Linked DNA regions of Cricetulus griseus. The protein of the gene in region 2 purifies or fractionates together with the protein of the main gene of each other region. This does not show direct contact. Links are inferred from orthologs where the notes say so. Each region holds a gene or a part of one and is shown on either strand. Other genes may lie near its edges. The genes, in order: Mettl18, Rpl3 and Ncl.

Region 1 (3,749 bases), on a different chromosome or scaffold from region 2:
TTCATCAAATTCTCAGGGAAACTTGCCGTTTTACATAGAAAATACAAGGCTGCTACTGCACTTGGCTTACTATTTCAATAGGCAGAACTATGCAAATACTATAATTTCAGAAAAAAATAATAGTAAAAAAGAAATTAAACAGGCACAAGCACAAGTTCTGAATTACTCTGTTTATTCCATTAGGCCACCACCCAGTGCATATTAACTGGGGTACTTAAAAGTCACTTCAATTAGGAACCTCTTGAGACCTTCATCAATTATTTCAAGTGTTTTAGTCTCAAACACATCCATTTCTTCTACAAACTTCTGAAAGAGATGAACACCACCACCAACACCAAAATAATGTGCTTTGCTGGCCAGAAGCACCCGGCCATTCCTACTCAACAGTCTGAGGACTGTTTCATGCAAAGTGTTGTAATAATCTGGATTATAAATGGTTTCTGAGGTGAGAATGAGGTCATATTTCACAAACAGTTTTTCATTTAATACAAATTTACAAAACTCAGACCACTCCCCAGAGAAAAACCGACATTTACATTCTTCTTGGGCTACTTTTGACTTCCTTTGTCTTTTCCCATCTGGCTCATTTACATCATTGCCCTCATCCTTCAAAGGGAAATTAGCAACCACATTAGGTAAGGTCACTTCATCGATCACCAAACTGTTATAATCTTGGAAATGAACTTCTCTGGCTCCTCCTTTGGCTGCAGTTATTCCAAGCAACCCTGATCCACAGCCAAGATCCAACACTTTTTGCCCAGCAAATTTCACTTGGGCCTTTGTGAAATAAGTCAAGAGATCAAAGGTACACTCCCAGATTTTTAAGCCTCCTTCGTAAACACCTGGAATCAAGTCAGAATGAGAAGAAAAACTTTTTGAAACTATGTTTTCTCCAGGGAATTGCTCTTTCAACAAGATGGTTTTCACTACTGCTACGTTAACATGCTGGGGACCTGGCAACATTTCCATAACCTTATTTGCTAAGACTTGATTTAAATCTTTGGGCATAGCATGTTCTTTAGCAGCTCTCAAGAAGGGCTGTTTCTCACATGTTTCTGGGTCACCTGAACGGTCAGCTGCACTGAGTGGGCTGTCAGTGTCTTCAGAGGAAGCTGTTTTTCCCATTGAGGAGCCTTCCCTCAAGCCATCCAGAAGCAAGTCTGACAGTTCTGCAGAACTCTTTCTGTCCTGCTTTCCTTTTTGACCTTTTGAGACTGGTGGTTCTTTTGATGAATCCAGGGTCAAAGTCCCATCTCCACAGGGTATTAATTTGTTTTCCAGGTCTTCTTCTATACTAAAGTTAAATTGAAAGGCCATCCTCGTATTATACACACACAATCTTTATCAAAGGATGATGCTTCAACTTCTAGATGGGATTTAATGGTGTAACTGAGTCACGCTATCAATCAGTTCCGTTGGGATGGATGTCCCTTAGCTGCTTATCCTCCCCTGGATATATTTTAGAGAGGCTTCCAAACACTTTCCAGAGGCCTTTGTTCCTCTTCGAATTCAGCCCTGGAAGTGGGGGAGAGAAGGGGGGGATGGTTATTTAAAAAGCTGTGTAGTGTGTGTAGGGGGGAAATTCACAGATACCTTAAGTATGCATAAGGAGAAGATAAAATACAAAAACAAACAAAATAACAGCTATAACAGCAACCACCTCTACCAGAACAAAAGATAAAGCCCAAGATTTTTAGACAGGACAGACTAGCTACTCGGTGTCTTTTAGCTGCCTTGTGCCCCCTAAATTCCCGACAATCTCCATCTCTGTCTGTTAATCTGCCTCTAAAAACAGTTTAAGGTCTTATTTGGGTAAGGAGGACATCCGTTTTCAGACACGTACAGGTGTGATCTGATGTTTGTAAATTCATCCGGAATTCTAAACGGCATGCGACTGGAGGAATGAATACAAGCTAGGATTGTCGAAAGCAAAATCAATTGCATGGAAACCCTTTCGGCAATGTGCCAGACTTTTATAATACCCGTTTTAACTTGCAAATTTCTAAAAGGTAGGATCTTTGTTCAATCGGCAGGAGCTGTGCAGAGGGAAGAACTCGCACTAGTAACATTATCCCTACTTTCTAACCTTCTGCACTGGGGTGCTGAGAGTCATTCCCGGTTACAGGTCCAGCTCACCCTACGCGCAGAGTCTCAAAACCCCTGGCACTGAGGGTATAACAAACCTGAGGACTTCTGGTCTCAGCACTCTAACGACCCAACAGACATCAGGGCGAAAGAAGTAAGCGGCAGAAGTCCGGCGGCGAAACTCACCATCAAGCACGCAGCGCACACCAGCGAGGCGAGTCCTCCGGTGGCTAGAGAAGACTTGGACGCGTGGGGACGAAGGGCCTCCTCTCTATGGTTTGGTGTGGGCGGAGCGCTCTCAAAGCCTGCTGGGACGGCGTGACTACCGTTCCAACTTGTGGCGGGAGCTGTACTCGCTCGCCCGTGGCTGGCGGCGGAAGGATGTCTCAGGACGACGAGGTGGAGGCGAGCCGGGCCATGCTGGATGAACTCAACAGCTGGTCACGGGAGGTGTGCCGCCGGGAGCTGCCTTCGGTGCTGCCCCGGCTCCTCATATCCTTGGAGGACGCTGAGGGGCGGGTCGCGAGCCTCCTGCCTCACTGACGCGGGCGGCCTGGCGCTGCGCTCGAACCCTGTCGGGTGGCGGTGGAAGGGCGAGGACAGCAGTGGGTGCGGGGCCTGGGCCCGCCTGGCATTGTCGGACGATGGCGACTGGAACGTTTGAAGATGACTGGCGTTCTCCCGCCTGTTGGTTCCACTGTCTCTTAGTTCTTCCCTGGGCCGCGCCTGCTGCCGAGTGCGGGACCCAGATGCCAGGCCTGAGCGTCACTGCCAGCGCTGGCGCCCGGTATCTGAAGTGTGAGAATTGAAGGATGCAGTCGTAGTTATTCTGTGGGATCATGTCCTTAAAGGATATTCTGTAAACAAGGAATGCTTTCCCCCTTCGAACCTGTTTTTGTTTTTAGAAGGCCTTGCTTCGGGATTTGGCTTTAATCGTCAGGTGCAGATGATAATTAGCATCAGGCTTTGTGTTTGTAACTGGAAGCCTACGCCCTACGTGTTAAAAGGTGGTTTTAGTATTGTCTTTGATTCCACCTCCTATATGAAGTTCACACACACACACACACACACACACACACACACACACACACACACCCACCCAAAACCAAAGACCATCAGTTTCTCTGTCTTTGATTCCACCTCCTATATGAAGTTAACACACACCCAACCACCCACCCACCCACTCTCCCTTCCTCCCTCCAAAACCAAAAGACCATCACTTTCTCTAGAGTGCAAACCCTGCACGAATGATGTTTCACAATCAGTATAACTTAAGTATTTCTAGCACGTTGAAGTCATTCCTTAGACCTTAGCAAAATCCTATGTGTCCGATTTTTATACTCCTTGTGCAAATAAGGAGTTATTTTGATTTTTAGATAAGGTCTTGCTCTGTAGCCCTGGCTGGCCTAGTGCTAGCTACCTAAAGCAGGCTAGTCTTGAGTTTGCAGTGATCCTGTGTCTGTGGCCCTCGAATTATATGTGTGCCTGCCTGGAACACTGTCTTTTTGGAATTTCCTCCTGGAAACAGCTGTTTTCCTACTCCAAGATATTTATTTACGTGATGTGTGTCTGGTATAATGCTAGCCTGTTTTTCTTTCCTCAATCTTACAGGCATTTTCACGAAATCCAAAGCACCATTTCTACTTTACCTTGCTACCTACCGA
Region 2 (3,749 bases):
AAGGATATTCTGTACTTGGTGTCCCTCCCACTTTTAGAAATTCTTTTACTTTCCTTTAATAAAACTATGTTTGTGTTCCTAAAAAATACATATATTATATATATATATATATATAATATATATTTTTTATCTGGAGAGATGGTTCAGTAATTAAGAAAACTTGTTGCTATCCCAGGGGGGACGGGGTTTGGTTTACAACACTCACAATTGTCTGTAACTCAGTTTCAGGGGATCTGACACCCTTTTGTGATCTCAGCAGATGCCGGGCACACACATAGTGCACATACATACATCCTGGCAAAATACTGATACATACACATAACATGAGTAAATCTAAAAATTAAGAACAAAATATGGGGGCTGGAGAGACGGCTCAGCTTTTAAGGACACTGGCTGCTCTTCCAGAGGACCCGAGGTTCAAGTCCAGTACCCACATGCGGCGCACAACTGTCTCTAACTCCAGTTCCAGGGATCCGACAGTCAGACATGCAGGCAAAACACTAATGCACCTTAAAAAAAGAAAAGAAAAAAAAAAAAAAAGAAGGCAATGTGAACGGGACATGACATCTAGGTACTGGAATGGCAGAGAGCGGACTTGACGTAGGTGTGCCCGAAATCATAGCGAATTAAAGGCAAGTCGTTGTTGCATTAAAATCACTGGCTAGGCAGAGAGCAAACGAGTTTCATACAGTCTTTACAACGTAAAAGCTCGCTAGAGCAGCACATCAGTTCCATCTAACTAAGCCTGCTTCAAGGACGTTCGTTTCGATACTGGATAGTACTGAGAGGGTTAGCACGCCGTGACACAATTCTAGAGGTGACAGCGTAGCTTACGGACAGAAACAATGCGGCCATTTTTCTTCATTATCATCAAGTTTGGCTGCTGCAGAATGCCGTAGACGCATTACATTCGAAACTGCAGCATCTCTGAGGCTTTGTGCCACGTTTGAACCCAACCACTTGCCGTAGGACGTTATTTGCCAATCTGGAGTGGGCGGGACAGGGACGTTCGCTGCGCGTCCTTCGACCCGACGTCCTCTGCGGCAGCACGCTCAGACGCTCAGTGGGCGGAGTCACTAGGTGGCTTTATATAGGCTGCTCGGCCGCCTGGCCGGCCTCTATCGGCGGCGTGTGACGGCAAGATGGTACGTGTAGCAGTCCGGGCTGGGGTCTTGCTTTTTGGGTTAGCCTGGATACGTCTGCGGCCCATCGACACTGGGAAGCTGCTCTAGCAGCACAGAGAACTTCGCTCGGGCCGCCACGGCGCTTAGATCTCTATAGAAAGCGTGTGCGGGGCACAGGCCTGGGCCTGTACGAGAGGCCTAGGGTTCGGCACAAGCCTGACGGCCGCTCGTGTTATAAAACTGGTTATTTTTGGGGTTTGGACACGAATTTTACCTTGATTGACCATGTGGCAAGCATGATGGAAGGCGGCCGTAGGCATTGATTGCACTGGCTGAAACGGGAGTCATTGTGGGAAGCCTCACGAGCTTCCATTTTGGAATGTGGTTCCGCGAAAGGAAAGTGCGCCTCCCGAGTTCCCAGAAGCCACAAATGATGAACCTTCTGACGGGCGGACAGAAACTCTGTGCTGATTGTCATGTTCTGATTTGGCATTGGGAATTCTAGAGGCTTAGCTGTAAAAGGCTGGCTCTCGAAGCTCTGTGGCCCATTTTAGCAGTGAATCATAAGGGTGTTTAGCAGAGCTTAGCTGTTTACTGTCGATGGTGAAAGACATGGCAAATGTTTGCAAAGACCCTATACAGGATTGCCATTTCACGAGACAATGTAAAGTGACATGCTCTCGTGGGCTGGTTAAGTAATAGGAAGGGTTGCTGAGGTTGAGATATACTTAGTAATGTTGGTGATTTTCTTTCCTAGTCTCACCGGAAATTCTCTGCCCCGAGGCATGGGTCATTGGGCTTCTTGCCTCGGAAGCGCAGCAGCCGGCATCGTGGGAAGGTGAAGAGCTTCCCCAAGGACGATCCTTCCAAGCCTGTTCATCTCACAGCCTTTCTAGGCTACAAGGCTGGCATGACCCACATCGTCCGGGAAGTTGACAGGCCAGGATCCAGTATGTAACTTACCTTGTCGAACTGGGGACTGGGTATAACTTCAGGAATGATCGGTACCTGGAGTAAATTTGGAAAGTCATTGTGGGACAATTCCATTTTGGTTAATTAAATTTGAAACAACCTGACCTGAGGTAACAGTGCCTACTAAGAGACTAAGAACAGTTCTCAGTCGTGTATTTCAGTAGACAGATAAGGTAGGCCTGCCTGCGCAAAATCATACGGGGATGTAGTTGGTCTTTGGAATCCACATGCGGTGAGGATAAAAACCTAGTCCTCAGGGCAGCCAGTGCCTCCCTCCTGAGCTTTAAGGATTGTTCCCCAAGTTAGCAGTTTCATGTCTGGGAGTGACTCATGGAGAGATTAGAAACCATGGGAGTGATAGCTTTTCTTACAGTATGAGGTGAAGTGTGGCATTTTGTCAATACTTGCTGAATGCTGGGATTTTAGGTGATAGTTATTACTTGGCTTCGTGTCTGTTTCTTCACGAACAGCAAGCATGCCTTGTGTGGGCTAGGTATTGTGGCACACGTAGAACCTTAGGGCTCATCAGCTAAAGCCACCTGTTGTGGCCCTGGAGATGGGAAGAGTAGAGGGGGCCAAATCTGAAGAGGCAGATGGCCTTTTGTTGTCGGCATTTCAATATTGGTAGTCATCTACCCACTGATGCCTGTTTGCCTTCACAGAGGTGAACAAGAAAGAAGTTGTGGAGGCTGTAACCATTGTGGAAACACCACCCATGGTAGTTGTGGGCATTGTGGGATATGTTGAAACCCCACGAGGTCTCCGCACCTTCAAGACAGTATTTGCTGAGCACATCAGTGACGAGTGTAAGAGGCGTTTCTACAAGAACTGGTAAGGAGAGTGAGAACCCAGGAAAATCCTGGCCTGAGCTAGAATTTAGTGAACACGATACAATGTTTATGGGCTTTTTATAACCCCCCTTTAATGCAGGGTTTCTTTGGGGGTGTTGAGAAAGGGTGGCTTTCGTGGCTGTCCTGGGACTAGCTCTTGTAGACCAGGCTTGTCTCACTCAGATCTGCCTACCTCTGTCTCCAGAGTGCTGGGATTAAAGGCGTGGGCCACTACAAGCCTAGCTTGTGCTGGGTTCCTTGGTGGATTTTTTTCTGAAATCTGAACTGAAAGATGGCAAATACAGCTAGGAAATAGACGTTTGCCTTTTCCTTGTGTGGTTTGGAGGCTTGACTGTAGTAGGTAGGTCCTTTTAACCTTTACTGTGAGAAGGTCCCCAAGTTAGAGAAAGGAGATTCTGTGCCCTGGAGCAAGAATTGTGTGTTTTCTATGTGGCTTATATTAACCTGTGGACCTCTACTCAGCTCCGCTCGGCTCTGCCCGATGAGCTCCATCCAGGCTCCGCTTGCTGGTGGAAAAGGCTCCTTAGAAGCCGGCAATGAGCCCCATGCCCACATGGTGCCAGTGTTCCTTCCTCTCACCCTGTGCAAGGGTGATGAAGGCCTGCACCGGGCCCCTCCCCCAACTCTGCTCTGCTCCTGAAGGCACAAATCTAAGAAGAAGGCCTTCACCAAATACTGTAAGAAATGGCAGGATGACATGGGCAAGAAACAGCTGGAGAAGGACTTCAACAGCATGAAGAAGTACTGCCAAGTCATCCGCATAATTGCTCACACTCAGGTGAGGACACACCCTGACCTAGGA
Region 3 (3,649 bases), about 61 Mb from region 2:
CATCCCTCAGAAAAAAGGAAAGAAGGCTACAGCAACTCCAGCAAAGAAGGTGGTTGTTTCACAAACAAAAAAAGTTGCAGTTCCCACACCAGCTAAGAAAGCTGCTGTTACTCCAGGTAAAAAGGCAGCAGCCACACCAGCCAAGAAGGCAGTTACACCAGCCAAAGCAGTTGCAACACCTGGAAAGAAGGGAGCCACACAAGCAAAAGCATTGGTAGCAACCCCTGGTAAAAAGGGAGCTGTCACTCCAGCCAAGGGGGCTAAGAATGGTAAGAATGCTAAGAAGGAAGACAGTGATGAAGATGACGATGACGACGATGATGAAGACGACAGTGATGAGGATGAAGAGGATGAGGAAGAGGATGAATTTGAGCCACCAGTAGTGAAAGGAAAACAAGCAAAGGTAGCTGCTGCTGCTCCTGCCTCAGAGGATGAAGACGAGGAAGAGGATGAAGAGGAGGAGGAGGAGGATGAAGAGGAGGAGGATGGTAGGTGGATTTCTGTTTGCAGGATGATTAGGAGATCTTGCCAACAATAATGCATGTAGTTTTCCTGACCACTTCGTGCTTAGATTAGAAAGTCACATTTTGTGCTCATAGTTCTTTCCATAACTTAGCATGCTGTCAGAATTTTATTTCTCTAAGACTTTTTTAGTGTGTATAAGATTCATGTTATCTGGATTGGCAGCAAATGCCCTTGCTTACTAAGCCAGCTCTCTTTCAGACTCTGAAGAAGAAGAAGCTATGGAGATCACACCTGCCAAAGGAAAGAAAGCTCCTGCAAAAGTTGTTCCTGTGAAAGCCAAGAATGTGGCTGAGGAGGATGATGATGATGAAGAGGAGGATGAAGATGAGGAGGAGGATGAAGAAGAGGAAGAAGATGAGGAGGAGGAGGAAGAGGAAGAAGAGGAAGGTAAGCAGATTACATTGAGGTACACTGACCTCAGTAATGTTTAATGGAAGTGCTTACCTACTCATGACACTAAAAATCTTATCCAGAGCCTGTTAAACCAGCACCTGGAAAACGGAAGAAGGAAATGACCAAACAGAAAGAAGTTCCTGAAGCAAAGAAACAGAAAGTGGAAGGTAAGCCTGTAAGATTGGGGACTGTGAGAGGAGATAAAGGTAGCAATAGCACAAGTGATGAATGACAAAGGGACTTAATACTGAAACCTGGTGTTGAGATTCAGTGTGCTGATGTGCTTTATAGAAGTTTTATGCTGATGTTTATGTATGGTGAGGTTTTAAATGAACTAAAGTTAATTTTCTGTGCAGGTTCAGAATCAACTACACCTTTCAATCTGTTCATTGGAAACCTTAACCCAAACAAGTCTGTTGCTGAATTAAAAGTTGCCATCAGTGAACTTTTTGCTAAAAATGATCTTGCTGTTGTGGATGTCAGAACTGGTACAAATAGGTAAGTTTTTCATTGAACATTAAATTGAGTTAGCTGGTGCTTCTAAATTCTCCATGCTCTTAAACACAGAGGTATATAATTACTTTAATGAAGACTAGACATTAAAGAACTAAGTCATCAAGTCATGGAACTTGCAAATTTGAAATTTCAATATTTGACTTTTGTGTTATGTCAAATAACAGCAATAATTGGCATTTTTGGATAGGTGGTGGCAGGGCACGATTCAGTCCCAGCACTTAGGCAGAGGCAGGTGAATCTGCATTGGAGGCAAGACTTGGATCTGAATAGTTATAGTGAATGCTTTTGGCCAAAAGGACTCTTAGTATTTAGCTAGGTTCCTCTTTCAGCTAGTACTATCAGTTAACAGTGTAAATTAAATCTGTGTAGATTTGCTATCCTGTCTAGGTACATAGGCTTGATTCTATGGGAGATGAATATGGCCTAGATCGCTCTCATGCCTATAATCTTGTCCTTTTCATCTACAAGGAAATTTGGTTATGTGGACTTTGAGTCAGCTGAAGACCTAGAAAAGGCCTTGGAGCTCACCGGTTTGAAAGTGTTTGGCAATGAAATTAAACTAGAAAAACCAAAAGGAAGAGATAGTAAAAAAGGTACGTAAAGAGACTGGGTGACTTAGAAGGTAGGCTTTGCCCCTTCTCCCTTAGTAAACCAGTGAGATTGACATGAATGGTCCACAGTGAGAAGTCTGACAAGTTCAATTCTAGGGGTGTACTGCTGCCGTCTACTGTCAAAATTGATGATTTTAAAAATCGAGTGTAATCTTTTAACTTTTCGAGGCCAGAGAGTGAACTGTGGCACTGACAGTCCTGAGTCAGGATGGTCTTATTCAGGAAATTGTGGGATTGGCTGGCAAGATGGATACCTTAATGTTTAAAAGTGCTTAATGCAAAAACTTGATGACATGATTTTGATCTATAGAAGTAAGAGAAACTCCAGATTTGTCCTCTGGGGCCACATGTAAAGATTCATTTATTATGTATACACCATTCTGCCTCCACGCCAGCAAGTGTATCATATCTCATTACAGGGTTGTGAGCCACCATGTGGTTGCTGGGAATTGATCTCAGTATCTCTGGAAGAACAGCAGAGCCATGTCTCCAGCACCCCCCCCCCCAAAGGGTTTTTGTATTTTAGAATTGGGGTTTTGAAGTGTTTTCTGTTTAGTGGGGTCCAAAAAATTGAACCTAGACCCTCTTAACACAGTGCTACATATCCTCAATCTCCTTTTCAACATTTGACACAGGGTAGCTCAGCAATTGCAGTTTATGCAGGTCAAGAACTTACTGGGTATAGACCCAGGTTACTGATTGTACAATAATCCATATTTGTGATGACATCTTAGAGATGGAATCAAAATAAACGTGTATCATATATACCTTAGTATACATAACTGTGGGGACGTTTGGGCTTGCATTTTGACAGGCTGATAACAGGCCACATCACATGTTGCCTTCCATTTTTGTTAATGTCATTGCTCAAATTTTTAGACTGAAATTTTTCATTAGCAGTGAGATTAGTAAACAAGGTCCTCTCAAACTATATCGGGCTCCTAATTATTACTTTTTGTGCCATTACTCTTTTCCTTTATTGTCACAAGTTAAATGGGTGGGGTGGGATTTGTTTTTTTTTTTCCTTTCTCTTATATGTTTATGTGTAGACTACATGTTTGTTTGCCAAGTGTGAGTGCTAAGAATTCACCATCTCCATCCCTTATCCCATCATTCTTAGCGTAGAACCTTTCCCTTCTTTATAGGAGCTGTTTGCATTAATTCATGACTTGTTAAATAATGAACTTTGTTTTGTTTAATGTAGTTCGAGCTGCAAGGACACTTTTAGCAAAAAATCTTTCTTTCAACATCACTGAGGATGAATTAAAAGAAGTGTTTGAAGATGCCTTGGAGATCAGATTGGTTAGCCAGGATGGGAAGAGTAAAGGGTATGTTTGTGTCTTAATCATTTAGCTTTATTAATAAAAAGGTGTTTGAGTGGTGACTGAGTATAATCTTCCCCTCTCATACCCTAAACAGGGTCTAAGGTAGTTCGTGTTGTTTGGTTATACTTATGATTTATTGAAGCTAACATGAGGTTACAGAAAGCAAACATATCCACAAGTCATGGAGCCAGGCAGTGGTGGTACACACATTTAATCTCAGGACTCCAGACTAGCAGGTGGAACTGTTCAAGGTCACACTGAACTACATGAGATTGATCC

What was found.
Region 1: the proteins of Rpl3 (region 2) and Mettl18 purify together in Homo sapiens (affinity purification with mass spectrometry; 3 studies listed by BioGRID and IntAct, with this or other methods). This does not show direct contact. The link is inferred for Cricetulus griseus from reciprocal best matches to the Homo sapiens genes RPL3 and METTL18.
Region 3: the proteins of Rpl3 (region 2) and Ncl purify together in Homo sapiens (affinity purification with mass spectrometry; 4 studies listed by BioGRID, with this or other methods). This does not show direct contact. The link is inferred for Cricetulus griseus from reciprocal best matches to the Homo sapiens genes RPL3 and NCL.

Annotation. Positions count from the first base shown.
Region 1 is NC_048598.1:28,341,850-28,345,598, forward strand, and holds Mettl18 (histidine protein methyltransferase 1 homolog), read right to left. Parts: upstream 2,410-3,749; 5' UTR 2,272-2,409; exon of another isoform or gene 2,184-2,271; intron 1,516-2,183; 5' UTR 1,318-1,515; coding exon 202-1,317; 3' UTR 152-201; downstream 1-151. Other genes in the region: C5H1orf112 (uncharacterized protein C1orf112 homolog), read left to right, coding at 2,467-2,577. UniProt on the Homo sapiens protein: Protein-L-histidine N-tele-methyltransferase that specifically monomethylates RPL3, thereby regulating translation elongation.
Region 2 is NC_048595.1:377,236,407-377,240,155, reverse strand, and holds the start of Rpl3 (60S ribosomal protein L3), read left to right. Parts: upstream 1-1,009; 5' UTR 1,010-1,142; coding exon 1,143-1,145; intron 1,146-1,549; exon of another isoform or gene 1,550-1,613; intron 1,614-1,881; coding exon 1,882-2,074; intron 2,075-2,758; coding exon 2,759-2,927; intron 2,928-3,534; exon of another isoform or gene 3,535-3,589; coding exon 3,590-3,725; intron 3,726-3,749.
Region 3 is NC_048595.1:438,023,664-438,027,312, reverse strand, and holds part of Ncl (nucleolin), read left to right. Parts: coding exon 1-488; intron 489-723; coding exon 724-912; intron 913-998; coding exon 999-1,085; intron 1,086-1,132; exon of another isoform or gene 1,133-1,202; intron 1,203-1,274; coding exon 1,275-1,416; intron 1,417-1,902; coding exon 1,903-2,027; intron 2,028-3,249; coding exon 3,250-3,373; intron 3,374-3,649. UniProt on the Homo sapiens protein: Nucleolin is the major nucleolar protein of growing eukaryotic cells. It is found associated with intranucleolar chromatin and pre-ribosomal particles. It induces chromatin decondensation by binding to histone H1.